Linked DNA regions of Canis lupus familiaris. The protein of the gene in region 5 interacts with the protein of the main gene of each other region in a pairwise test. Links are inferred from orthologs where the notes say so. Each region holds a gene or a part of one and is shown on either strand. Other genes may lie near its edges.

What was found. The genes of interacting proteins can lie anywhere in the genome.
Region 1: the proteins of TCL1A (region 5) and TTC33 interact in binary tests that used the Homo sapiens proteins (3 or more experiments, as listed by UniProt). The two-hybrid records come from large-scale screens. The link is inferred for Canis lupus familiaris from reciprocal best matches to the Homo sapiens genes TCL1A and TTC33.
Region 2: the proteins of TCL1A (region 5) and CARD9 interact in binary tests that used the Homo sapiens proteins (3 or more experiments, as listed by UniProt). The two-hybrid records come from large-scale screens. The link is inferred for Canis lupus familiaris from reciprocal best matches to the Homo sapiens genes TCL1A and CARD9.
Region 3: the proteins of TCL1A (region 5) and PRTFDC1 interact in binary tests that used the Homo sapiens proteins (3 or more experiments, as listed by UniProt). The two-hybrid records come from large-scale screens. The link is inferred for Canis lupus familiaris from reciprocal best matches to the Homo sapiens genes TCL1A and PRTFDC1.
Region 4: the proteins of TCL1A (region 5) and CADPS interact in a two-hybrid assay, tested with the Homo sapiens proteins (3 studies listed by BioGRID and IntAct). The two-hybrid records come from large-scale screens. The link is inferred for Canis lupus familiaris from reciprocal best matches to the Homo sapiens genes TCL1A and CADPS.

Annotation. Positions count from the first base shown.
Region 1 is NC_049225.1:69,539,067-69,544,318, reverse strand, and holds part of TTC33 (tetratricopeptide repeat protein 33), read right to left. Parts: intron 3,351-5,252; 5' UTR 3,350-3,350; coding exon 3,129-3,349; intron 1-3,128.
Region 2 is NC_049230.1:49,112,662-49,117,913, forward strand, and holds part of CARD9 (caspase recruitment domain-containing protein 9), read left to right. Parts: intron 1-203; 5' UTR 204-204; coding exon 205-442; intron 443-663; coding exon 664-801; intron 802-1,244; coding exon 1,245-1,549; intron 1,550-1,626; coding exon 1,627-1,806; intron 1,807-2,004; coding exon 2,005-2,148; intron 2,149-2,433; coding exon 2,434-2,559; intron 2,560-4,346; coding exon 4,347-4,538; intron 4,539-4,927; coding exon 4,928-4,969; intron 4,970-5,126; coding exon 5,127-5,172; intron 5,173-5,252. UniProt on the Homo sapiens protein: Adapter protein that plays a key role in innate immune response against fungi by forming signaling complexes downstream of C-type lectin receptors.
Region 3 is NC_049223.1:6,451,923-6,457,133, forward strand, and holds part of PRTFDC1 (phosphoribosyltransferase domain-containing protein 1), read left to right. Parts: intron 1-852; coding exon 853-935; intron 936-1,424; coding exon 1,425-1,471; intron 1,472-4,428; coding exon 4,429-4,505; intron 4,506-5,211. UniProt on the Homo sapiens protein: Has low, barely detectable phosphoribosyltransferase activity (in vitro). Binds GMP, IMP and alpha-D-5-phosphoribosyl 1-pyrophosphate (PRPP). Is not expected to contribute to purine metabolism or GMP salvage.
Region 4 is NC_049241.1:28,613,726-28,618,977, forward strand, and holds part of CADPS (calcium-dependent secretion activator 1), read left to right. Parts: intron 1-2,646; coding exon 2,647-2,880; intron 2,881-5,252.
Region 5 is NC_049229.1:64,860,696-64,866,408, forward strand, and holds the start of TCL1A (T-cell leukemia/lymphoma protein 1A), read right to left. Parts: upstream 3,957-5,713; coding exon 3,837-3,956; intron 1,398-3,836; coding exon 1,227-1,397; intron 815-1,226; coding exon 758-814; 3' UTR 754-757; intron 210-753; 3' UTR 1-209. UniProt on the Homo sapiens protein: Enhances the phosphorylation and activation of AKT1, AKT2 and AKT3. Promotes nuclear translocation of AKT1. Enhances cell proliferation, stabilizes mitochondrial membrane potential and promotes cell survival.

The sequences.
Region 1 (5,252 bases), on a different chromosome or scaffold from region 5:
ATAAAAACTGTGTTCAAAAACACAAGGGAAGGACAGCATGGCTAAAACGTAGTGGAAATGAGAATGCTTAAAGATGAAGCTGATTCACAAGACAGGGACTGAGGTTTTGTTCGTTTTCTTTCAATTTAGCTTCACTATTCCTCCTTATATTATTTTTTATTCCTCATATTACTTAAATCAAGTTTAATATTACCTTAGGCCTTTTTAAACTATATTTCTATTTAGTTTTGGCACAGCGTAGCCAAACTGTTCAACCCACTAGATTCCTTTTATTCTGTTTAGTTATCTTCTAAAGCTGTGTATATATTATTCCAAAACAAATGCTGACCAGCAACAAACTCCATCATTTCACAGTGTTCTCCATTCAAAATAAAACATCCAACCCAGCTGATTTTGGTGAAATGACTCAATGTTTTGACATGCAGGCAGAAAACAAGAGTTATTTTGTTTATCTACAAAGTTGCTATCTCTCTTGTACCACAGGAAATTCAGAGGGACTCCCATGGTAATAACCAAATTGCTTTTTCCTCCTGCACACTAGTGTGGTCTAGAGAAAAAGGCAAAAACAAAGTTAATGAACTTTTAACAGGCATTTACAGGAATTTCTAAAGATGTTTTATGGATGTTCTGAAAGTGATTTCATAAATGTGGAAAATTTATAGTGGGTTTTCTTCTGACTAAGACAGAATGCTCAATCTTGCACAGTTTTACAAAAAAACTAATACCACATGTAGAATTCACAATGTAAGATTAGGCTGTTAATTGCGCTTGATTGATATTTGTTTTCCATAATTGTTTTCCAATTTGAGGTGCTAATATACTATAGTTTAGGCACCGTTTGATGTTTTATATTAAAATATATTAATAAAAGATTACTCCAAGAATCAAAAATAAGAACAGACCTAGAAACTAAAATGTTGCTTCCTCAACTCTGACTCATTCATGACTAAAATGACTGACAAGGAATCTTATAACCACCCTGACCAATTTTAATTAAGGAAGAAGGAAAAAAAAATAGCTTTTTGTTCAGTACTACTTTTAATTTCTCAAATGTTTTATTACCACATAGAAGATACTAGTCAAAAGCACACAGGCCTGATTTTAGATCTCTAGGTGAGCTGAAGAGTGTTCTGTCCTAAACACAGACCTATTCAGATATTACTCCTGCTGACCATACATATAGCTTCTCAAAATCATCCTTAATGCAAAAAAAAAAACAAAAACAAAAAAAAAACCACTCCTCGTGATGATCAGTATAATTCTTTTTTTTATTATTTTTTAAAATTATTTATTTATTTATTCATGAGAAACACACACACACACACACAGAGGCAGAGACAAAGGCAGAAGGAGAAGCAGGCTCCATGCAGGGAGCCCTATGCGGGACTTGATCCCAGTTCTCCAGGATCACACCCTGGGCTGAAAGCAGCGCTAAACCGCTGAGCCACCCAGGCTGTCCAGTATAATTCTCTAATATATTTCCTTCACCAAGGATAAATGTTTCAAGATTTTTATTAAAATATGACTTTCAGCAGATATTAAACACAGAAAACATAGGCATGAGATCTTTCAAATGGCTCCATTGACAACAACCTGATGTTATTTCCTCTCAATATGATACAATAGAAAGTGCAAGATTGATTATTAAGTATTCTTGTCAAAAAGTTAATCGGAATCTAAATCAAATCTCCACACTTCAGTTTAGAAGAAATGCATGAGATAGGGGAACCAGTTAAATGACATCCATAAGGGATCAATCAAATAGAAAACTGGTCTAGACTCTTCAAAAATGCCAATGATAAAGTAGGGGACCTAAGTAAACGCTAAAGAGATATAATAACCAAATGAAATGTATGAGTTCTGATTGGATCCTGGTTTAAAAAAAAAAAAACTGTAAGAGACATTTCAGTGAAAATTAGAAAAATCTAAAAATGGACTGCATATTAGTGTTTAGTAAGAGGTATCTTTATTCTTTTAAGTAGCCTTCCTGCCTAACATGGGCTTGAACTCACAACCTAGAGATCAAGAGGGGTATGCTTCACTGACTGAGCTAGCCAGATGCCTCCAAATATTTTCATTCTTATAAAAAGCAGGCTAAATTAGGAAAGAGATGTCATTATGTCTACAACATACTTTGAAACAGATCACAAATTGTAAATTTACAATTACATACGTCAATGTATGTATATGTTGCACTGAAATAGATAAAGCAACTATTAGTAATTTTTGAATCTAGATAGAAAGAATACAAGGGCTAAACTGTTCTTTCAACCCTAATATTGATTTGAAATTTTTGAAAATAAAAATGTCTTTCTCTACCTCTAGGTTATAAAGATATCCTTCCATATTTTCTTTCATTCACTGTGTAGTTTTACATTTCACACTGAGATGTTTTTTAGCTCTGTAGAGTCCATCTTTGTATGTGGTATCAGGTACAGATCATTTTCTTTGCCTATATAGAGAATTCCAGCTCTCTCTATAGAATCTATGAACTAATGGGTCCAGACCCCATTGATTTGTGAAAGAATGATTTTTGGTCCCACTGAAAGACCTACCCAGAGACAGGGGAAAAGGAACAAGAAAGTACAAAAAAAAGGAAAATGGAAAACAGTGAAGGGTGATTAGGAAACGTATAAGAGCTTAGCTGAGGAAGGGCTGAGGATAAATGAAACTACTATCAAATTCCTGTGCACCTGCATTTATTGAAGTATACAAAAGCCAATGGAAAAGGATAACTGAACACCTCTTAAAAAAAAATACATGCCATCAAAGTCCTTCAGGAAACATCTAATTAGTCTGGTATATATAAGAACACGAGGACAAAGTTTCCAGAAATTAAACTATCTCCTACCAACCAATAACTTGGATTACATTTTACTTAGCGTTTACTCTTCTTCAGACAGGACAAAAATGACAGCAAAGCAGACATTCCAAGCATCTTAAAGACTCTTCTACAAACTTTCCGATTCCATGAAAATGTTTAAAGGTGTCTTTAAAACTTTTATTTATCTGATTAATTTAGCACCCAGATCAGATGTTTAAAACATGAATTTACAGATTCTTAACTCTTTGTCTCCTTACTGACAGCAATGTAAACTGTTCTCCATAAGAAAACTCTAAAAACATACCTTTTATTTTCAGCCAAACTAGCTCCTTCATCCTTCAGCTGCTTACTTTTCTCAGCACAGCCCTCAAGGAGAATTTCTTTCCTACGTTTAATGGCATGAAGCCAGTTTCCTTCTTCATTCTCAGCTACATCCTTCTCATCGGCAGCTTCAGCTTCAAATTGCTTGGAAGTGACCTTCGAGACCTTCTCACCAATTTTCCTCTTCCATCCAAAGGAAGCCATTCTGGAAAATTATTAAAAAAAACAGCTTTAAAATTCAAACTTGGCCTTTTGTAGAAGTTCTCCAAATTACAGATGAAAATGGGAGAACAGAATGAGACTGTCACCACTTTTTAAACACCTAATTAAGTAGTGGATCAAAGCAATAGTCAACAAAGGGTGCTAACATCATAAAGAAAGCCAATTGGACTATAGTATCTCCTGGTGAAAGTGCCATACCACCTATGGAGTACCTATGAAGGTCAAAAATTTTGACCTACGAAGTCAAAAATTAATCCTGAATCAGATCAAGCCTACCAAACTCTACCAAGTTATAAGAAACATGTGACATAGATGAGCATGCTAGATAACACATCAGAGATGAAGAAAGCAAATAACAAAAACTAAAGAAAAATAAAACTGGTTTCTTCAAAAAATAAACTTCCAGGGACAGAGAAAGATGGAGATAAAAAGAGACTTCAGAGACATACTAATCAAATATAATGCATGCATCTTGTTTAGCTCTGGATGTCAACAAACCAATGAGGAGGAAACATTTATGAAATAATAAGGAAATTAGAACACTGATTTGATATTTGATATTAAGGAATTACTGCTATTGTTGAAGCCATGATAATAGTATTATAATCAAGTTTATAATAAGAATGCTTATCTTTTAGAAACATATACTAAAATATGTCACATGAAATTATATGATAGCTAGAAATTGTTTCAAAGTGATCACCAAAGGTAGGGATGCAAGAGAGGAGAAATATAGAGGAAAAGATTGCTCTGGGCTGATAACCAATAAAGTTAGGTGATACGTATACAGGATTCCTTGTACTTTCCTTTCTCATACACATTTGAAATTTTCCACAATAAAAAGTTTTTAGGAGAGTCAAACTTGGTAAACAACTTAATTCACAAGAAAACTATTAGGTGAATTTAAAAGGTAACAAATGTTAAACTGTTTTGTAAATCAAAAGAAAGGATAAGAAAGAAAGGACAATTGATGGAACAATATTAAAGAAAACCAAAGAAACATTCAACAAGTATTTATTTAGAGAAGGGATTTACTGAGGGATCCAAGAATTCTTAGTAGTTACATGGATGTGCTTAAAGACATCGAGAAACTCCTGGAATTGTATGTAAATTTTTTCTATATCTATGTGCATTCTGGAGAAGGGTACCTAAGCTTTCATTCCGTTCTTAGGGAGTCTATATCCCTGAGGTGATTATGATCTACGGAGTAATCAACTAGGGGGATAAGAAAAAGCAATGAAGCAGAGGTCTTTATAAAATTATCAAAAAAAAATAAAAAAAAAAATAAAAAAAAAATTATCAAAGAATGGGCATTGTGATAGTAAGGGAGAGAGGGAAAAGAAATAGTGGATAGGTTCTAGCAGATGTCAGGTCTTCATTACTGATGCGCATGGCTGAAGTAAAATATAAAAGTCATCAACAGAAGGAAGGGGCCAAAAAAGATAAGGTGACTATGAAGTTATTCACATGGAAAGGCCTAAGATAGTGGCAGAACTTGGAGGGGTAAGAAAATTACAGGTCATGTGCCGAAGTTCCTAATGAATACAAGGAAGTTTCAATAAATTACAGCAATCAAGAAATACACAGGCAGATATGGGTGAACCACATATCTGAGAAGAGATTGCTCAAAAAGCCTAGAGGAGTAATGGATTATAAACTATACTAGGGAAAGGACAATGCCAATCTCTCTCCCCAGACCCATTATAAAATAGGAGAATGAGTTCCCTATGTTTGAAGATGATTCTAAATAACTTAGGGGGATCCCTGGGTGGCGCAGCGGTTTGGCGCCTGCCTTTGGCCCAGGGCGCGATCCTGGAGCCCCGGGATCGAATCCCACATCAGGCTCCCGGTGCATGGAGCCTGCTTCTCCCTCTGCCTGTGTCTC
Region 2 (5,252 bases), on a different chromosome or scaffold from region 5:
CACATCTTCCCTCACACTTATCAGGGTGACTTGGACAGAGAAAGCCTAGGTCACCTGCTGAGGGAGTGGCTGCAGGGTCTAGAGAAGGCCGGGAGGGCTGCCCTGGCTGAGCTGGTGCCCCGGTCAGAGCACCAGCGCAGAGGAGGGAGGGCCAGGGCGGGTGAGGCTTCACACCTACCTGTCCTGGACTCCCCTGGGCCCAGCATGCAACTGTCCCTGCCAGCTGCTCTCCCACCAATCGCAGCGGTGGCCGCCACCATGTCAGACTATGAGAACGAAGACCAGTGCTGGAGTACCCTGGAGAGCTTCCGAGTGAAGCTCATCTCCGTCATCGACCCCTCGCGCATCACGCCCTACCTGAGGCAATGCAAGGTGCTGAACCCCGATGATGAGGAGCAGGTGCTCAGTGACCCCAACCTGGTCATCCGCAAGCGGAAAGTGGGTCAGTGCTGCCTCAGCCGGGAGCTTTGAGCACAGGAATGGGCGCTCCCCAGCACCCCACACCCTGTCCTGTCTGCTGGGAGCCGTGGTGCTTCCATGCACAGCAGACACCCCTGGGAGGGCAAGGGTGCGTGGGCAGCAGGTAGATCTTGACCTGGGCTGGGCCTATAGGAGCTCAGTGCACAAGCCCAGCCAGCCCCAGCCTGGCCCTGTGGGTTTCAGGAGTGCTCCTGGACATCCTGCAGCGGACCGGTCACAAGGGCTATGTGGCCTTCCTTGAGAGCCTGGAGCTGTACTACCCCCAGCTCTACAAGAAGGTCACGGGCAAGGAGCCCACCCGCGTCTTCTCCATGATCATCGGTGAGGCAGGGGGCCCCATGGGCAGGCTGGATGGCTGAGCTCCTGATGGATAAACTGGGGGCAAAAGGAAGTGTGAGGGTTGCATGGGAGTGCCAACAGCGGGGCCCCATGCTGCGCCTTCTCTCTGGTGGAGAAAAGGAGGACCCATGCAAGGAGGGCACAGAACCCCTCCATCTGACCCCACCAAAGCCCTGGCTCCCGGAAGGACTGGGTGCCCACCAGCCCTTATAACAGGAGAAGGGAGGGTAGGTACCTGGCCTCATTGCTGCTGTCCTGGAGGGCGGGAAGACAGTGGGGATGTTAAGTCAGGAGGTCAGCCCGCTTCCTCCATGGGGAGCATCAGCGCCGGGCCCTGTGTGCCTCGGAGTGGGTCCTCAAGGCTGAGGCCCAGGAAGGGGTGCAGTACGGAAGGGGATCCTCTGATGCGGCCTGGCCATCTGCAGACGCATCCGGGGAGTCAGGCCTGACGCAGCTGCTGATGAGCGAGGTGCTGAAGCTGCAGAGGAAGGTACAGGATCTGAGCCAGCTGCTCAGCTCCAAGGACGACCTCATCAAGGAGCTGCGGGTGAAGGACAGCCTGCTTCGCAAGCACCAGGAGCGCGTGCAGCGGCTCAAGGAGGAGTGCGAAGCTGGCAGCCACGAGCTCAAGCGCTGCAAGGACGAGAACTATGACCTGGCCATGCGCTTGGCCCGCCAGATTGAGGAGAAGGGGGCTGCGCTCATGCGCAGCCGCGACCTGCAGCTGGAGGTGTCCTGGCACCTGAGGCCGGGTTGGGGGTGGAGAGGTGCGGGGCGAGGCTGGCGGCTGATGGTGTCTCCTCACAGATTGAGCGGCTCAAGCACAGCCTCATGAAGGCAGAAGACGACTGCAGGGTGGAGCGCAGGCACACGCTGAAGCTCAGGCATGCCATGGAGCAGCGGCCCAGCCAGGAGCTGCTGTGGGAGCTGCAGCAGGAGAAGACGTTGTTGCAGGCCCGCGTACAGGAGCTGGAGGCCACAGTGCAGGTGAGGGGAGCCCAGGGCAGGAGCGGGGGGGCCTCGCGTGGGTGGGGCGGGCCCAGGGCAGGGGCCAGAGGTGGGTTCCTGTGCGAATGGGATAAGCACTTTTGGGAGCTGGAGAGATCTGGCAGGATGCTGGTGCCAAGAGCAGGGCCCCCTCGAGTCTAGCTGCCTTCCTGCCACTCTCCCCTTCACCACCCACAGGAGGGGAAACCAGACAGGAGCAGCCCCTACATCCAGGTGCTGGAGGAGGACTGGCGGCAGGCACTGCGCGGCCAGCAGGAGCAAGCCAGTACCATCCTCTCTCTGCGCAAGGACCTGCGGCAGGGGGAGGCCCTGCGTGCCCGGGTACGCAGCTGGGGCCGGTGGACATGAGCCTGGGCCAAGCCAGGCTGGGTGGGCTGAGGGACCACCCTGTGTTCACGCAGCCCCTGGGATCCACAGCCCTGCCTCACCCCTTCCTGGAGGTGCGGGGCCTTGGCCTCCCACCCCACTCCTGGCCTGCACTCCTACAGGATGGGCAGGCCCGGGCTTTGGGTTGGCAGGGACCCAGAGACTCAAGCAGCCTCCCTGTCAGCGGGGCCTGAGCAGGGGCCAGAATGGGCGGTGGGGGCTAGCTGCTGGCTCCCGTAGTGCATGGAGGAGAAGGAGATGTTCGAGCTGCAGTGCCTAGCCCTACGGAAGGACTCCAAGATGTACAAGGACCGCATCGAGGCCATCCTGCAGCAGATGGAGGAGGTTGCCATCGAGAGGGACCAGGTAGGCACCTCGCCGCTTCCTGCCTCATGCTGGCGAGGAGCAGCCCAGGGTGAGGGCACAGGTGGGGTGGGGGGATTCCCACAACTGTGGTGCCTTGCCCTTTTGCAGGAGGGCTGTCATCAGCTCTTGAAAAAACGTGAACAATCGTGAGGGTAACTCCTTCCCGTCCCCTGCCACCCCAGCCCACTGCCAGAAAAACTGCCCTGCTGGCAGGTCGTGCCTTCAGATTCTTTCTAGTGCACATACAGTTTCATTTTTGTCTTACAAAAATGGGAGCCGTCTTGTTTGGCAAACAGCATTTTGGGTTTCTGGTTTTGTTTTTTTTTTAAGATGTATTTATTTATTTGAGATGGAGAGGTGGCGGGGGGGGAGCACATGCACATGGTGGGGAGGGTCAAAGGGAAAGGGAACCTCAAGCAGACTCCCCGCTGAGTGGGGCTCAATCTCACAACCCTGAGATCACAACCTGAGCAGAAATTTTTAAAAAGATTTTATTTATTTATCTGATAGAGAAACAGAGCAAGAGAGGGGAGGAGAGGGAGGAGCAGGCTCCCTGCCGAGCAAGGAGCTCAACACGGGGCTCCATTCCAGGACCCCAGGATCATGACCCGAGCTGAAGGCAGACACTCCACTGACAGAGCCACCCAAGCACCCTTAAAATAGCTTTTTTGACTTAAAAAACTCTTGGGTGGGACACCTAGGTGGCTCAACAGTTGAGGGCTCCCTGCAGGGAGTCTGCTTCTCCCTCTGCTTGTCTCTGCCCCTCTTTCTGTGTCTTTCATGAATAAATAAATAAAATATTTAAAAAACAAAACAAAACAACAAAAAACCCCAAACCCTTGTCACTTTGGCTGGCTGTGCTCCTGGGAACTGGAGGCAGAAGCGGCCTCTTTCTCGTCAGCACCAGGGTTTTTCTGATCAGTGTCAGTCGGTGCTTTGGCAACACTCTGGAGGGACTGGAAGCCTGCTCAGAGCCTCTAGCCTTGCAGTTACCCATCTGAATGCCTCTGGTGGGGATGACGGTGTGCAGAGAAAGCACGGTGCTAGGGTCGTGGTGCCAGGGTGTGGTGCCTGGTCCCTGTTGCCAGGGAGCTGCCTGGAGGCCACAGGCAGGGAAGAGCAGGGAAGCAGTGCTCCCACCTTCCCTGGGGGAGGCAGAAGAAGGGAGGGTGCTGTGCCACCAAAGGCAGGCTGCCAGCCAGGGATGCTGGGGCCCAGCAGCCCAGGTGAACGGGTAGGCTTCTCTTCGGGTGTCCCTGGTGGGCAACAGGAAAGGAAGGCAATTCTCAGTGATTCCTCAAGTTCTGGCCATTGAGGGCCGAGGGCTCTAGGGCTGGGTTGGCCTCCAGGCAGGGGCCGGCTGCTTGCAGCTGCCACCCTGCTCCAGGCCTGGGCACGTAGGCAGCTGGCTGACTCCGGCTATGGGTCAGAGCTGCGTCAGGTGTGCTCTGGTCAGTGTGCCGTGTCCCCCAGAGGGACAGCCGTGATGAAGGATGTAACACAGCTGCCAACAGCCATATTCCTGATCCCACCGCTAAGTGCCGTGGAGGGTAGAAGCACGGGCTGGATGTGCGGTGGGGTGGAGGGCTCGGAGATCAGAGCTGGAGGTTTCATCTCCACCTCCCATTGGAAGCTGTTATTACTACACAAACCCTCAAGCACTACACAGGCAGAGGGAGAAGCAGACTCCCTGCAGGAAGCTCTCAACTGTTGTGCTGAGAGGCGGGGGTGGTCCTGGGGGTCTCCAGCAACCACCCAGCCCACCCTGAGCCATCCTGTCCACACAGGCCATTGCCACACGGGAGGAGCTGCATGCACAGCACTCGCGGAGCCTGCAGGAGAAGGACACGTTGCGGAAGCAGGTCCGGGAGCTGGCAGAGAAGGCAGACGAGCTGCAGCTGCAACTGTTCCAGCGCGAGGGCCAGCTGCTAGCTCTGGAGGGCAGGCTCAAGCGGCAGCAGCTGGACATGCTCGTGCTGGTGGGCCTCCCAAGGGCTGTGGGCCTTTGTAGCGCCCGCTGGTCAGAGATGCAGCCACAGTAGAACACAGGATAGGCCCTCAGATGCCAGCGTGTCCCCGAGACACCAGAGCCCAGAGGCAGGGACGCTGGTCAGCCCAGGGCCAGGCCTGGCTTGGAGATTGCTCCACGGGGGGGCCTGGGCAGGTCCCAAGCCTTTCCCAGGCCCCCCTCTCCTTCTGGGGAGCCTGGGGGTGTGGCACATCTCAGGGCCTGGCAGGCCACTTTGGGTGTCATGAGGAGGAGGGAGGGGTGTTCTGGCCTGGGACCCCTCGCTGTGCCCCACCTTATGCCGACCCTGGGGGTGGCTGGGTTTCCTGTTTGCTGACTGACTCCTCTCTGTGACCACAGAGCTCTGACCTGGATGACAGCTCACCCAGGAACTCTCAGGAGGTGAGTACGCCCCCCAGGGTGGGCTCCAGGCCACAGTCTCTGCCAGACCACTGTCCCCCCAGTCCCCTTTGGGAGCTGGGCCCCAGCTGGCCCGCCTCCTGGTCCTTGGAGCAAGGACTTCCTGCCAGGTCGTTGATGCCCGTTTCTCTCCCGGAAGCTCTCGCTCCCCCTGGACCTGGAAGCCGTCCAGCTCTCGGACAAAGGTGAGGAGCAGAGCAGCTTTTCAGGGACGAGATAGCCGAGGCCTCCTTGTTCCTGTACTTGGACTGGGCATAGCCCTGTC
Region 3 (5,211 bases), on a different chromosome or scaffold from region 5:
ATGGGCCCTATGGCAGCCGTGGACTTAATACAGCACATGGCCACTTTTCCTTCAAGAGCACGCCTGTCTTATCAGCTGGCAAAAATTCAAGGGAGCTGTTTTCAAGCTTTTGTTACACAATTGCCTGTGTGTGCCATATGTATCTGCAGTCCTCCTGGCTCAGACATAGCCCATGAAGTAGGCCCTCTAGCCAAACGAATTGCCCAACCCTGGCTAAATTCAGACCTGTTGTTTTGATAATCAGCTCCTGACAGCTGATTTCTGTCCCAAGGACAATACACTTCTGCGGCCCATTCTCCTCTAATTGTGCAGCAGCTCATCAGCAGAGATGAGCCGAGGCTCGCCGCAGCCTCGCACCCTCAGAATTCACAGGCTGTCACCAGCTGCCGTCCAGACACATCTCACTTCCCAGCCGTAGAATCCCCTATTGAGTGGGGAGGGCAAGGGGGAGGTGTTTATCCATTCAGGGTATTCAGCTGTACATCCCATGTCCATGAAAATTCATGTGTTCCGTATTGTGTTGCATAACCTCAAGGCCAGATTTAGTCCTTGAATGTGCATGCACAAGGCCAAATGTACTCAGTGAGCAGCCCCATACGCGCTCCAAAGGCCGAACGTAGCTTTCAACACAGTTCAAGGATTGCAAGAGGAAATATTCATCACTAAACCCGGCTTCAGAGAGAAGCACCTGTCTAAAAAATGTAACCAACTCTGCTTCCTACTTTGACTCCATCTGATGGCAATTCTAATTATGATGCATTATTAATAAGGAGTACAATCATCTGTCTGGATGAAAAATCTATCATGCTGCCCAAATGCGCTCAACTGAATCTGTCTGTCCTCTTTGCAAAGGATGTTGTTGGAACTGGGAAAACCATGAAAGTGCTACTCAGTAGCATAAAGAAATACAAGCCCAACATGATTAAGGTAGCCAGGTGAGTAGGACATTCACATCATTGTTGCTTCTGCATCTCCCCATAAGCCCGAGAAGGATGCTAACACAGGATGTTGTCTCCAAAGAGAGCAGTCTATTCCAAACCAGTGACCCCTTTGCCCTGGGGTGTTATGGCTTGACCACACTGAACAAATAGCCCATTTGACTGCTGGCCTGAGAGAGAGGAAGGGGAAGAGGACATGCTTTGCTAGGTGTCTGAGTCTCTCGCTACTGTGCCTCCATTAGCGGCTTCCAGGAGCAGCTGGCTGAGCCTGGTGCCAGAGTCTCTCTCCCTTCCTTTTATCTAGAATCACTGATGTGGTGCCACAGTAGCAGGAGGGTGAATTAGGGGACCGTGATGGTGCCCCACTTGCTCCAGGGGGAAAATACATATCTTAATGATGTTTAGTTCTATTTGCAATGCACAGAAGTTTTATCTGGATCACTAAGTGCTTTTTTCTTTGTTCTTTCTTTTTTTTCTTAATGGTAGTTTGTTAGTGAAGAGAACACCTAGAAGTGATGGCTTTAGACCCGACTGTAAGTGGTTTTGGCTTTTGTTGGTTGTTGGTTGGTTGGTTGGTTGGTTGGTTGGTTGGCTGGTGGTGTTGATTCATGTTGAAGACTCTCTGATTTCCTATTTGCCAGTATTCCATATGAAGCACAAGCTGTTAAGGTTTGATAGTCCCACAAATCTCTCAAGGTCTCCCCAGCCTTGCTGGGAGGATAGAGTCCTCTACAATAAGGGTTTTTAAATTTCCAGTTTGCGTTTTTCCCAGATACTCTGTCGTGTGCATTGGATATTTTCATTTTTGGGTTTTCCATAGTACCGTAAAGCTAAAAAACTGAGCTAATGGGTATCAGGGAGGTAGAGGGAGACTTGACCCCGCCAGACTGGCTGACATACAGGATCCCTGCCTTGTCCACTGTCCGTGTCAGACGGGCATGGGAGGGCATCATAAAGGGTTAGAAGGATTCGCATACTGCCTCCAGAAACCGTCACCAGACAATGCATAATGCTGACCTTCAGTAAGCCTGAATTTTAGCACACAGAAGGGGAAATCCGAGACACCTCTCCCATCACCTTCAAAGAAAAGTTCAGTAACACAGAGAATTGGCAGAACAAATATCTCCAGATACCATCTTCACACTTGACTTCGGACATATGTTCTGGAGGACTTTGCTCATCCAGGGCACTTTACTGATAATACAAATAGTTCCAAAGCCAGGAAGAATAAACAAGCAGCTTGATAATTTATTATTCTAACACTAGAGGCAACTTTTTTTCACTCATATAGGCAGACTTCAGCTTGATTTTTTATAACTTACATTTGCTCTAAATCCTCTGGGATAATTTGGCTACAGTTCCCATCAGCAAGCTGAAAAAACATCAGAGCAAGAGGAGTACACTATGGCCGAGTAATGTGCCAATGACATTTCGCCAGTGACTCTTTATTCTAAAACAAGTTTCATCTATGCTGGGTGTATTAAATCTAGACAACATCATTTCTGGGCACAGAGACCCAACAGCACGTTTCTGTCCAGTTACTGGCATGGGGAATATAATCTGGGTGCAGTAAAGTCAGGCAAAGTGAGGAAATAGAAATCTTCTAAGGAAATCACGTAAGATCCCATATAGATAAGATTTTAACTGAAGTTGAAAGAGTCACTTCAGACATAGCCAACTACTTACAGATGATTTGTGTCACTTACAGCAACGACATGAATAAAATAATAGGTAACACTGGTAAGAGGTTATGATGGGCCCTACACTCTTTAAAGAGCTACACAGAGATTAACACATTTACTCTTCACCACATTCATCCAAGGTAGATGCTACTGATATACCCATTTTGCAGGTGAGGAAATTGAACACAGCAAGATTCAATGGCTTTTGAAGGTCACATTGCTGTAAGCGTAGCATCAGTACTGGACCCAGGCAGTCTGGTTCTGATCACTGCCCTTGCTCTTGCATGACATCTATAAGTAACACCGCAGTTGCAAATAGAAGTGTAGGAACTGCATCCATTTACCAACTAGACGTAGGTCACTCTGATTCCTAACCATTCCCCTGTCCAGCATCCTTCTTCTACTCCATGACGGCTCTGAAGGTTTGGCCTTCTGAATTGGCTTTTCTCAGTCTGAGGTGCCATGCCTACTGTAGGGATTGATTGCTCCATTTACTGTAGAGTCATTATTGTGGTAACAGCCTGGGTTCTCTGGGATTTACTGATATCCTTTTAGCTGGGTCAGAATCTCTGTTTCGTTTCCATGGATTTCTGAGGCTTGATACTTTTGATTCCTTTCTCATAATTGACTCTTTCCCATATGTTCAATGGCATCTTTTATATGCGCTGACATCTTTTCTTCTGCTCTTGCTTCTCTTCTTTGATTATATTTCTCAAAGCAACCTACAGTTTGGAGGGACAAAGGAGGGTCTTTATCAGTAATATGTAATGCAACCCCTCTAGAAAGTAAGTGTCTCACCTCCAGCACTTTCTGCAAGCAGGAATCAGTTGCCTTCTCCATGTGAAAGCATCTTTGGTCATAGGGATCAAAATGGTGGTGAGTAGTTCACCAGAGGGATAACTTTCTCCATGCTCTAAGTCCACTGGCTATGCCAAAGTACAGTTTCATGAAAGTAAGCAAGAATATTTCTCATCTGCAATGTTGTAATAAACAGATTCAAAATAACTAGAGTTTGAAAAACCACTGGACCATAGGCACATTTATTCTGTTTCAAGACCTCTGAAGGAGAGCTATTCTCTGTTCCTACTATCTTTTCCATAAAAATTATCTTCCTTACAATAAATTTTCCTTTATTTAACCTAAGTACCTCATACTGCATTTAAATCCATTTATTTCCATTCTTCCCTGAATAGAGATAGAGAGCTAATTAATATCATCTGCCTCCTTGATTCAAAGACTAGTGTTGGAATAACCCTTAGTGTTCTCTTCCTCACACTAAACAATCCCACTTCCTTTCATCTTGTCTCCCAGGTTTTGCTTCTCTGCCCTTTATCCAGCTGAGGACTCTGAGCACAGTGGGAGAACCACTTCCTGGCGGCAAAAGCCTGTGCACCTAGTCACCTACCAGAGGACTGGAATACCTTCTGTCTGAACTGAACTTTATGCTCCAAAGTGTTTCCTTTGGCATTATATCATTGGATACTGCTTGCTTTGGAACAGCGGGACTATATGACTAACTCATAGATATTTCTTGTTATCCCCTGGGCTATCTGAGCCCTCTCTTAGCTCCGTGTGGTAGGAGTACAGCCATTCTTCCTTGTATGTTTGCTTGTCTATCTTGTCTTCCTGCCTCGTCACTCTGGTCCAGGTCCTATTGGGCTCATCCTATGCATTACTTATCATTTTTCTCACTTCTGCCTAAATGAAAGGTCCTCACAGTGTAAGTGCCAACTATAACATATGATGGCTTTCTCCTTATGTTATCTATATGTTATTCCTTTTTTTTCTCTCTCTCTCTCCCTACTCAGATGTTGGATTTGAGATTCCGAACTTATTTGTCGTGGGTTATGCCTTAGATTACAATGAATACTTCAGAGATCTGAATGTAAGTCATGCATGCAAATCCCTAGCCTTCTTTTCACAAATAACAGTTATATGAATTTAACAAATTATTGAAATAGTAGTAATGATGGCTGCCACTGATTAGGTATGTTCTGCATCAGAAATATTCCGGACACTCTGCATTCATAATCCCAATTACAGCTGTATACAATTCTAACTATTCGCCTTATGAATAAGAAATGGTTTCTTTAAAAAAAAAAAAAGAAAAGAAAAGGATTTTATTTTATTTATTCATGAGAGACACACACACACAGAGAGACAGAGACAAAGGCAGAGGGAGAAGCAGGCTCCCTACAAGGAGCCTGATGCAGGACTCGATCCCAAGACCCAGGGATCATGCCCTGAGCCGAAGGCAGACGTTCAACTGCTGAGCCACCTAGGCGTTCCAAAATGGTTTCAACATATATAGATGGACCCCCAGTTTATACCCCCAGCTGTGTGACTTCAAACAATGTTGAATGATCTAGAGATAGATAGCCTACCCAAAATAGACCAATCATGCATGTGAGTGTCTCTCTCCTAAGAATTAGAAACTTAAACCCAAAGTCACAGAAATCAAAGGATTTTGGTCTTAAACCACTGAATGGCAGGACCCCAGAGAGCGTATCCACAAGCACCATGGACTACCCCATTCTGGCCTTCCAGTTGCTTCACTGGTGCTCTTCCTTGGATTCTATGAGCTACCTCAT
Region 4 (5,252 bases), on a different chromosome or scaffold from region 5:
ATCCTATGGCTCATAGTTATCCCTGATTGAGTCCAAGAATGATAAGAAGCAAAAGGAAGCCCCCTGTGCAACAGCTTTGAAGAAGTAAGATTCTTTCCTTGATCATTACTAGCTCTTATTGAGCTCATCAACCTATCGTGTTATTTCAGAGGCTTCCGTCCTGCTTCTCCTCCTACTTCCACCCACAGTGTGTTTAGAAAGCACCTCATGGTGGACTGAACCCAGCCAAAAACCAGGAAATCATTATACTAAGAGGCTCCAGAAGGAACCAGTACTCAAAGGCTGCTGGGTAGATTTCCACAACCTGTGCTCATTTACATGGAAAAATAGAATCTCACTGTTCTTCCAGAACTATTTCATCAACTGTCCACTGCCACCTCATGACTGAGTTTTAGCTGCATTGATACTTAATATGGACATTTTGACAGGCCATCCATTATTCACTCAACTCACATATATTAAGTATTTACTATGTGCCAAAAATTATTCTAGACGATAATAATTCACTAAGGGTATTAAGACAGACCTCATAGCCCAGCAGGAAAGATAAACAACAAACAAATAAATTTCACTATTTCCATTAATTGTAATAAATATCACCATGAAGTTTACCTAGGTATTATAAAAAAGTAGAACAAGGGGATTCAACCTAGGGAAATAAAATTTTGAGGCTGAAATATAGAAGATGACAAGATGGCTGAGATATACTTAGGGAGCAAGGGGGTAAGGGGAACACTTATGATAGCCCCTAGATACGAAGAAGACTGACATAACACAAAGGCATCTCCAAACTCTATTCAGAGAATTTACTATATGGTAGCAAGAAAGAAATATCCTTCTAGCTAACTAGTATGTGTGTGTGGAGGGGGGCAGTTATTGAAAGGAAAACAAAAGAATCTCAAAGTAGCCAATAGGAGGAATAGGTGGTCTCTATGAGAATTGGAAAACCAATAAAAGAGTTTCTTTCTGTGACTCTAAATAACTTCTTTTCTCTTCTTCCCTTCATCCTGCCTTCCCATTTTTTCTTCCTCCCTCTGCTAGTCTCTACCTCTATCCTTTCTCTACCTCTATCCTTTCTCTACCTCTTTCTCTTCTTTGTCAAATGTCTTATTCTTTCACCTATTCCAATATGGCAGCTACCCATGAGTCTACATGATCTTGCTATTTCACTCCACTGCTAATTACAATCTCAATACCTCTCCGTTCATTTGCCTGAAAGAGTAAATCTGGTTGATCATTGGCCACTGAATTGAATTAGTTGGTTGACTGGGGTCAGATGTCCATGTACTACACATCTTTTTTTTTTTTTTTTTGCCACCCAGAATTGGCAAACCAACTCATGTCCCATGTGATCCAGGTGGAATTCTACCCTTACCCACTTGGATGAAGGATATAACTCATACCTAAGCAACTCAACATAACATGTCACCAGCCATAAAAGGTGGCTCAGGTTATGTACATAAGTCAGACTTTGGGTGAGAACTTTGAGATAAAAGACATTACAAGAGGAGATATTCACCGTCCTTTAGATAACATGATGTCATATGATAAGGTAGAGATCTCTAGCAACCTTTTTGTGACATTAAGGGGAGCCAGAGTGAGCATGGGGCTAGCCCAAAGGAACCCAAACCAAGATTTGGAGGAAAAATTCAGTTGTGGTGGTATCATCTGAGTCCTGATTCCAGCCTCGCTGGAAACTGGTCCACCCCAGGACATTTCAAACCAATAAATTCCCTTCATTGTTTAAATCAGTTCCAAGTTAGATTTTTCTATCACTTACAAAAAAAAAAAGAAAAAAAAAAAAGCCAAACTGATATGGCTTGCCCCTCACCTGATCAGTACGGGCCAAGGCTAAGGAGGGCAAGTTCATGTTTCAAGTGAGAAATGATTCTTGAAAAGGTGATCAATTCAGAGCCTATTCAAGGCAGTCGGGCAACTTAGAGGTTTAAAGAAGCAAATAGCATGACTAAAGCATGTTACTATTACAACCTGAACTCATAAGCAAGGAAGGAAAAAATAGAGGTCAGTTCTGAATTGCTTTATCTTCTTTTCTAAAGAATTTTAATCATGTTTTTCATCACTTCATTAATTTTTTTCAATTTTTCTTGAAAACAGTAACTATTCTTTCTACTATTCCTTTTAGAAATAGCTACAGGCTATGTTTGAAACATCTCAAATGAGCTCCTCTTGAATTATTCATGTGAGAAAATCTCTACGTATCCAGAAATAGGGTGTCTTTCTGTCTCCAAACTTAAAAACAACTGATTGCATTTTGCTAAAAAGAAAAACCATTTCAACTGAAACCAGATTTTAAAAAAATATCACCCCATTTTTCTTTCCACAAATCAAATTTGCTGGAGAAAATGGGGGGGGGGGGCGGTGATTGCACTACAATAAAACATTTGACTCTTTCTTACTATAGGTTTATGTATATATCTCTTACCTGTCAGAGATTGTAAATAACCAGAAGGCAGTCAGCCATCTACTCAACTAAATTGAACATTTTTCTAGCACAATGCCACAATATCTGAGCCAATTTCACTAATGGTAGATATTATTATAACTCTGGGCTGTAAGGTGAAAACCTTCTGTATAAATCAGGTCTCTATTTACTCCTCTGTTCATACTTTTCTTTTTCTTGATAAGGAGCGCAAATTTCCCAAGTTTGTATCCAAAGAAATGGAAAACATGTACATTGAGGAGCTGAAGTCATCAGTCAACCTTCTCATGGCCAATTTGGAGAGCATGCCAGTGTCCAAAGGCGGCGAGTTCAAGCTTCAGAAACTCAAACGCAGCCACAACGCTTCTATCATCGACATGGGCGAGGAGAGTGAGAACCAGCTCTCCAAGTCAGACGTCGTGCTGTCTTTCTCCCTGGAGGTAAAAAGCCCTAAACCCTTGAAAGTTTCCTGCCACAGCCCACAGGATTTGGGTGATTAGATCAGCTTGCTTTCCTCCTTGCACCCCAGGAGCAGTTATTAAAATAACAGCTTGCTAAGCATAGGTCAACTAATCAGCAAGTGATTCCCCATCTCCCATGCTTTCCTTAAGGAAATGCAGTCTTAAGAATCACCTCCTAAATTTAATCTTGCATTATTTTCCATCTTAAAGTAGCGCTCAAGGATATTGTGAAGACCTTATACAATTTAGAAAGTTTAAAATTTTGGCATCCTGTGTCACAGTTATGAGGGGAAATATCTAGCATCATTTGGTGCATTGTAGATTTTCTTTCTTGTCATCTCTCCTGTTGGCTACATGATAGAGGTCCTCTTGTTGCAGTGGAGCCTTTTCAGTTGACTTCATCACTCAAAGAAAGAACCGGTTCAGACTGGACTGTGGCAGAATGCTCCACATGTCAATAAATTTCTTTATAACTTCTATTCACACGTTTGCCTTTCATACGTATAATTTAGGGAGTGGATCTGATCTGGCTATGTTGGAATTGCCCGGGAAGCTGGTTCAGTGTGCAGATTCCTGACATCACCCAGACCTATTGATTCAAATCTTAACGGGGGTGGGGGAGTACAACATGGTCCAGTCACTTTGGAGAAGAGTTTGTTAGTTTCTCAAAAAGTTAAACATAAAATTACCAGGTGTAGAGTACAACTTTACTCTTAGATATCTACCCAAGAGAAATGAAAACACATTTGCCCATAAAATCTTGCTCCCAAAATGTTTATAGCAGCATTATTCTTACTAGCCAAAAATAGAAACAACCTAAATATGTATCCAAGGGTAAATAGACAAAATGCAGTACATCCATACAAGGGGTTACTACTTAGCAATTGATAGAAACAAACTACAGATGTATGCTTTGATTTAGATAAGTCAAAAACATTCTGCTTAGTGAAAGAAGCCAGACACAAGAGACACATGTTGTTTGATTCCATTGATATAAAATATCTAGAAGACGCGAGTCTTCAGAAACAGAAGTTAGATTAGTGTTGCCTGGGGCAGAAGGTAGAAACGGACATTAGGGACATTACTGGGGGAGATAAAAAATGTTCTAAAACTAATTTATAATGATAGTCATTCAACTTAGTAAAGTTACTAAAATCATTGCATTGTACACTTGAAATGGGTTAATTATAAGATATGTAAAATATGCTTCAATGAGGTAAAAAAAAAAAAAAAAAAAGAACCTCTGGGTGGAGTTTACCATGAAATTACCATTACCATTACCATTTTAATGAGCCACCCAGGTGCTTCTTATGCCCTCCAAAGTTGAGAACCATTCACAACTTATTAAAGCTCAGAACCCCACAAGGATTTTATGATAGACCTAGATTTGGGGAGACCAAGAGAATAGATCAAATTTCTGTAGATTTAATTAGGATTTGTAAAGACTAAATTAATTTTCTAGAACATCATTAAGGCTTGCTGTGAATTAACTGCAGATAATTTGTTTTACTGTGCTTAGTTCGGATCAAGATAGTCATAGTGTTTTCAACATGTATTTTGCAATTGGAAGTGGCAGTATTCAGTTAAATATAGAGCACTTGGTGTGTGAAAAAATCATCAGTGTAATTTCACAGAAACTTCCTTTCTTTCTTTTTTAATACCGCCACCTGAGGTACTGAGTGCTTTTTTCTTAGGTGTCTTTGAATTTGATTATTGCCAATTAGAGGTGGCAATTTATTCCCTATTGCCTCTTGTCTTTCTACAGAAAGTGGGAAAAAAGTGGTTTATTGATTTTCATGAAGTTTTTAAATCTATAATTTCCTAATTCTTTATCACTACTCAATATTATACAGCTGATTATCTGAAATATAGATGTGAGTGAGTCCCCAACCATACTCCCATGTGTACATGATTCAAACAGGCTTTAACTTGCAAGCATAAGCACAGAATGAAATGCCCTCGGGTTCCCAAATACTCTTTACTTGGAACACTAAATTGCACATATACTAAAACTGTCAGCAAACTCATTGTGCATCTGTATGTTGGGTGCGACAGTGAGGGTGGCAAGAAGAGGGAGATAGAGGACCATCATCTCATCAGGGCAGACCGGGTTTGAATTTGCAGGTTAGTACAAGACAGGTTTCATGTACTTACAGAATTGCATGGCTACAAAGGTCATGATAGAGCAGTTAACTGCAGCAAGAGAACTGAGGTCCAGGCTGCCCAGTGGCCCGGCCTTGGCCAGGGGAGTACGCTGATGAAATATAATGGGCACGTGTAGAGCACCATTATGCCTGCTTTGCATCATTAACTCCGTGAATCGTCACAACAATCTTTTGAGCCATTTGCAG
Region 5 (5,713 bases):
GGGGGAGACTGGGGGGCCACAGGCAGGTCCAGCAGGCCCTGTGTAGGGCTCATCCTCGGCCCCCCAATCCCCCCCGGACTGGGGAAGTACTGGAACAGGACACGCACAGCTGGTAAACGAAGGTGACCGCAAGCACGAACATCCCCTCTGCGGGCCAGCAGGACGTGGCCTCGGGGGATGCAGGAGGAGACAGGAGCGCGGGACCTGGGCTAAGAGAAGACAGAGTCAAAGGCAAAGGGGAGGATGTGGCACGGGCGAGGGCCGGGGTGGAGGGTGGGTGCGAGCGGAGCTGCTGGGGGGAGTCTGGACGGGGAGCTTGGGGGTCGGCCTGGGCCCCCAGGGCTGAGCCCCTGCGTCTGAGCCAGGGCAGATGACCAAGAGAGCGAGAGGCCTGGTGTCAGCGCACTGGGATTGGGAACCCGGCTCTGTGACCTGCCCCAGTTATGGTGCTTCCTCGAGGCTCGTTTTTGTAACCTAGGAAATCGAGTAATTCCCAGCTCAGTCGAGGTGATGATCAAGTGGGAGCACCCATAACGTGAGAGGCGCTGTACAGACGTGCACCCCTGCGGGGAAGGGGGCCGCGGACAACTGACTAGCCCCCAGTGTGGTAATGGGGAGAGCAGGGACCCTGAGACCCTCAGAGGACAGTTCCGTCGGGGTGGGAGTCAGCACTGCCTTCATGCGAGAAGGGTGGTCCTTCATCCCGACCTGGGCACTCTGGACCAACAGGTGCTGGGCCCCGAAGGTACTCACCTGGTCACTCATCCTCCAGGTCTGGCAGCTGCTCCAGGAGCATGTCCTCCATGCCACTGAGCTGCACGGGAGAAGCGGGTGAGAGGCCCGGGCCCTAGGAAGTCTCCTTCCATCCTTCTATTCCTGCCTCCCGGGCCTTCCAGGAGCTCGGAGCAGCAGGCAGGAACCTGCCTGGGGGCGGGGGATTCGAGGAGCCCCTCCTCCCACCAGCCTTCACCCCCTGACTGCCCATCCGAGAGGCCTCCCTGTGGCTGAGACCTCAGAAGGTGGCCCAGTCAATGTCTTCTGATGTCTCCCCAGTCCAATCCTTGAAAAACCTGCAGTTGTAAACTCCTACTTGTTTAGCTTTTGGTGAGAGATGGAGGGAATGGATTGACCTCAGAGGCCAGACATGGGGGCCTGGGGGAGGCGAGGAGGACAGGACAGGCCCACCCAAGATGACTCGACGGTGTCCAGGAGGAGGACACACTTGCCTCAATGTGGTACACTATGCGCCAGAAACTGGAGTCTGAGCCTCGGTATCTTCTTCCAGGGTAGAGCTGCCACATGGAAGGCAGCAGGCATGGGGCTAGCAGGCTGGGGCACATGGCCTCCCCTAGGGGGACATCTTCCTGACGCATGAGTACCTGGAGGCTGCTCTCCGTCTGAAGGGAAGGGAAGACCAGGGCATGCCTTCAGGGCCCAGGCTCCCCAGCACCCAAATACCCAGGGTCCTTCCTGCCACCCTCACGGCCCAGCTGACATCTGAAATGCTGGCGATCACTCTTCCCAGCAACTTCACCCCTTGCGCCATGCATGCCCCTCTCAGGCATCGGGCCAGGCGGAGATGACCGGCACTTACATGAGTCTAGACACCCAGACGGGGCCACACCAGGCCCACGTCTTCCTGACAAACTGAACATTCGTCCCTGAGCTTCCTTAGCTGCAGTTTCTTTGATTCTTCTTTATTTTGTCACAGAGCCCAGCCCCTTTTATTTATTCATTAAAAAAAAATTTTTTTTAAGTAATCTCTACACCCAACACGGGGCTTGAACCCACAACCCTGAGATCAGGAGTCGCTTGCCCCACCGACTGAGCCAGCCAGGTGCCCACAAATGCCCCATTGAAACAAATTTCCCCAGCACCCACAATCAGGTGAGAGACCACTTTTCCCCATCTCCACCAGTGCCCCTCTACTGCAGTAAGCTAACCTGCCACCTCGTTGGTCATGTGCCCCACGATCAGCTCACAGCACAGCAGCCAGGGTGTGCGTCTAAAAATCATGTCACCTCCTGTTTGACACCCTCCAGTGGCTTCTCATTGTGGGCAGAAGAAACTGCAGCCTTTACCATGGTCCACAGACCCACTAATGTGGGCCCGTGCCTCCCTCATCTCTTCAGTCCTCCACCTCCCACCCTGTTCCTCCACCTCCCACAAAGGCCTTCTTGCTCTTTCCAGGACATGCCACATCCCCAGTAATCTCTTGCATCTGTGGTCCTCTGCCTGGAACATTCTCGCTGAGATCTACACGCGGCTCACACCCTTCCTTAGATAGGTTTCTGCACAACTTTTTATCTACAGGGACAAATTTCTGCAAAATCCAGCTCTATGAAATACACATGAGGCCCGCATATCTAAAAGTGAGACTTACAAAGGTTTCAAATAAAATGATTGGACAAAAGCATGACAAACAAATGCAAATTAATTCTCTGACGGGGTCTTGCCTGTAGACCCCACGCCACTCGTTACTGCCTCTCATCCTTACACAACTTACCACCAGCTTCAATTATTTTATTGTTCTGCACCCCTCAGCAAGCATCAGCTTGCTGAGTAGCAGGATTTTATCACATTCCCCACAAAACCTCATAGCCTGGAAAGCAGGCTGGGTCTATAAACTAGGCATTCGTGTCTGCTCAAGAACTACTTTTCCAAAGTGGAAATCATTTTTTGTTTTTTGTTTTTAATTTGTTTTTTGTTTTTAATTTCCCATCTATGAGATAAATTAGAATTGTTAAATAATTCAGATCATCCTGCAAGATATGAGTGGAAATCACCATTCTTGCTGTGTTCGTTTATAGTTTTCTAGAGCCTCTAGACCACTTTTAGTCTGCGTGTTCATTTTTTTCTTATTTTTTTTTATTTTTTTTTTAAATTTATTTATGATAGTCACACAGAGAGAGAGAGAGAGGCAGAGACACAGGCAGAGGGAGAAGCAGGCTTCATGCACCGGGAGCCCGACGTGGGATTCGATTCCGGGACTCCAGGATCGCGCCCCGGGCCAAAGGCAGGTGCTAAACCGCTGAGCCACCCAGGGATCCCTTCTTATTGGTTTTAAGTCAATCTTTACATATTAAGGGCAGCCCCGGTGGCTCAGCGGTTTAGCACGGCCTGCAGCCCAGGGTGTGATCCTGGAGTCCCGGAATCGAGTCCCATGTAGGGCTCCCTGCATGGAGCCTGCTTCTCCCTCTGCCTCTCTCTCTCTGTCTTTTGTGAATAAATAAATAAAATCTTAAAAAAAAACTTTACAGGGATCCCTGGGTGGCGCCGCGGTTTGGCGCCTGCCTTTGGCCCAGGGCGCGATCCTGGGGACCCCGGATCGAATCCCATGTCGGGCTCTCGGTGCATGGAGCCTGCTTCTCCCTCTGCCTGTGTCTCTGCCTCTCTCTCTCTCTCCCTCTGTTACTATCATAAATAAATAAAAATTAAAAAAAAAAAAACTTTACATATTAAGAAAACAGGCCCTTTCAATCACATGGACACAAAGCCTGCCCCACATTGGGCTAGGGGTATGTTTCACGCAGGATCTATGAGGACAATGCAAAAACCTCCACTTTGTGGTCTTGGTGTCCTGTGCCCTAACCAGAGATTTAAATGCCAAGAGACACGGTGGTGGGGACCTGGGATTCCAGGCCTCTCACATCCTGCAGAGCTACCATAATATTTTTTTTTTATCTTTGTTCCTAATTCGGCGTCTGCACCGCTGCGTTCCGGGTGAAGCAGGCTCCGCTGCCCCCCACCCCCCCGCCCGCCCCTGGGAGTCGGGGCAGGTGGTCCCACCCCGGATGCCCACGCCGCGCGCCCGGCCCGCCCCGGGGCGGCTGTACCTCGATGGTTACGGGCAGCCAGGTGCGCTGGTTCTCGTCCACGTACACGGACGTCTCCCAGATCCACAGGTGGTCCGGGTGCAAGGCCGCGTGCGCCCTGAAGAACGGGAGCTCGCCCATGGCGCCCCGGGGCACGGGCGCGGGAGCCTCTGCAGCGCGGGAGCCCCTGCAGCGCGGGGTCGGGTGGGTCGCGGTGCGCGCGGGCGCCCCCGGGCGGCGGGGTGGGAGGGGCCGGGGGGGCGGGGAGGGGCGGGGCCGCGGGCGGGTCTGCAGCTGGACCTGCAGGGGGGCGCCCTGGCCAGGCCTGGGCTCCGGCTGTCCCCCCCTCCCCGCTCCCCGCTGCTGCTGGGGAGCCACCCCCTTGTCCGTGCCAAAGGCCTCTCGGCTCTCCGGGGCGCCCAGACCCCACTGTCCGAGCCCGCCACCGCGTGTGTGTGGCTGCTCACGTCCCACTAGAGACCGGGACGCCAGGCCGCTGCTGGGAACTCACAGTCGATGCCAGGCAACCCAGAGCCGGGCCCCCCTGCACATCTTCCCGGATCATGCGAGCCTGAACGAAGCCTGGACCCTCCCAGGTCCAAGCATCCCCTTCAGCCTCTGGATGGGGTGTCCGACTCGGTCTCCTTGGCCAAGTGCTACTCATGAAGCCCCGACACCCCACTCACCCCCACCCCCCTCCGCAAACACATTTTCCACGGCTTTGATGATGGTGTGGTCATCTAATAGCTATTGTGAAACACGATGGTGAAGAAACATGGGTTTTTTTTTCCCCTTTATAGGCTTTGAATTCATTGCTGAGCACATCCTTCAAAATGAATGCTTGAAAAGAATCCCTTCTCTCCGCCCCAAGATCAATGGAATTGAAAAGTCCCTGGGTTTCATGATCAAACCGGCTCTCTGTGAATTACAGCAAACAAGGAAAACAATGTCACTTCATTTTGCAGTACACCGCATGCCCATTAAGGCAATTAAGAAAATAAAGTACAATGAGAAACATGTAAAGCGAGGCCCGGCCTCGTTGCTCAAGCATCACCCCTGGCTGCAGTGTGGTGCTTCACCTTCCAGCTCCTTCCTGACTCTCTGCCCAGGCACTAAGAAAATACTCTGTGATCTTTCGAGATATCACAGAAATGAAAATGAGCTTAACCCTGATCCTCTGACAGCAAAGGTATGTATGTGCTGCTCTGCCCACTCCAAACAACCTAATTCCCAAGAAAGTGCTGAGGTGGCCTACAGTAATGGAGATAAATATATAATTGGATTTACCAGGAACACAAAAAGAGGAGACAAAACCCAAGCCAAGGTGGAGTGGAGGAGGCAGACGGGAGCCCAGCAAACCTCCTTCCCGGAGCAGCCTCTGGTGGTGCTGGTATTTCATATTCAGACTCGTGGCATTCAGAGTGATTTCCCAGTGGTTGGTTCTTAATTCCAGACCCAGGTAGCCACTGGGAGCAAGATAGTATGGTAATGGCTGGGGAATCTCAGCCCTGTCCTGAGCTTTGAGGTCAGAAACGGTGGTAACAAGTCTGGCTTAGACAGTGTGGCAAGGGAAGGAGGTAGCTAGGAGCCCGCGTGGCCACTGACCCAGCCACATCGAGGACCCCAGGACCCAGAAGGCCGATTTCTGGGGTCTGCCGATTTCATTACCACTCCTTCTGCTCTTCAGAGAGGCCACAATAGTAACAAGTAACAGAACAAGAATCACACTCCTTTGCCTGAATATCCTTCTGAATGTCCTGGGAATACATATGATCCTTACACCCCCCAGAGTCCTTTGAAAGAACAATATATGTCTTCAGCGTTGCATGAGAGCTTCTTAATATTGAGCAAGAGTGTACATCATTCTTGTGTAGGATTTAGCGAATCACTTGAGAGGG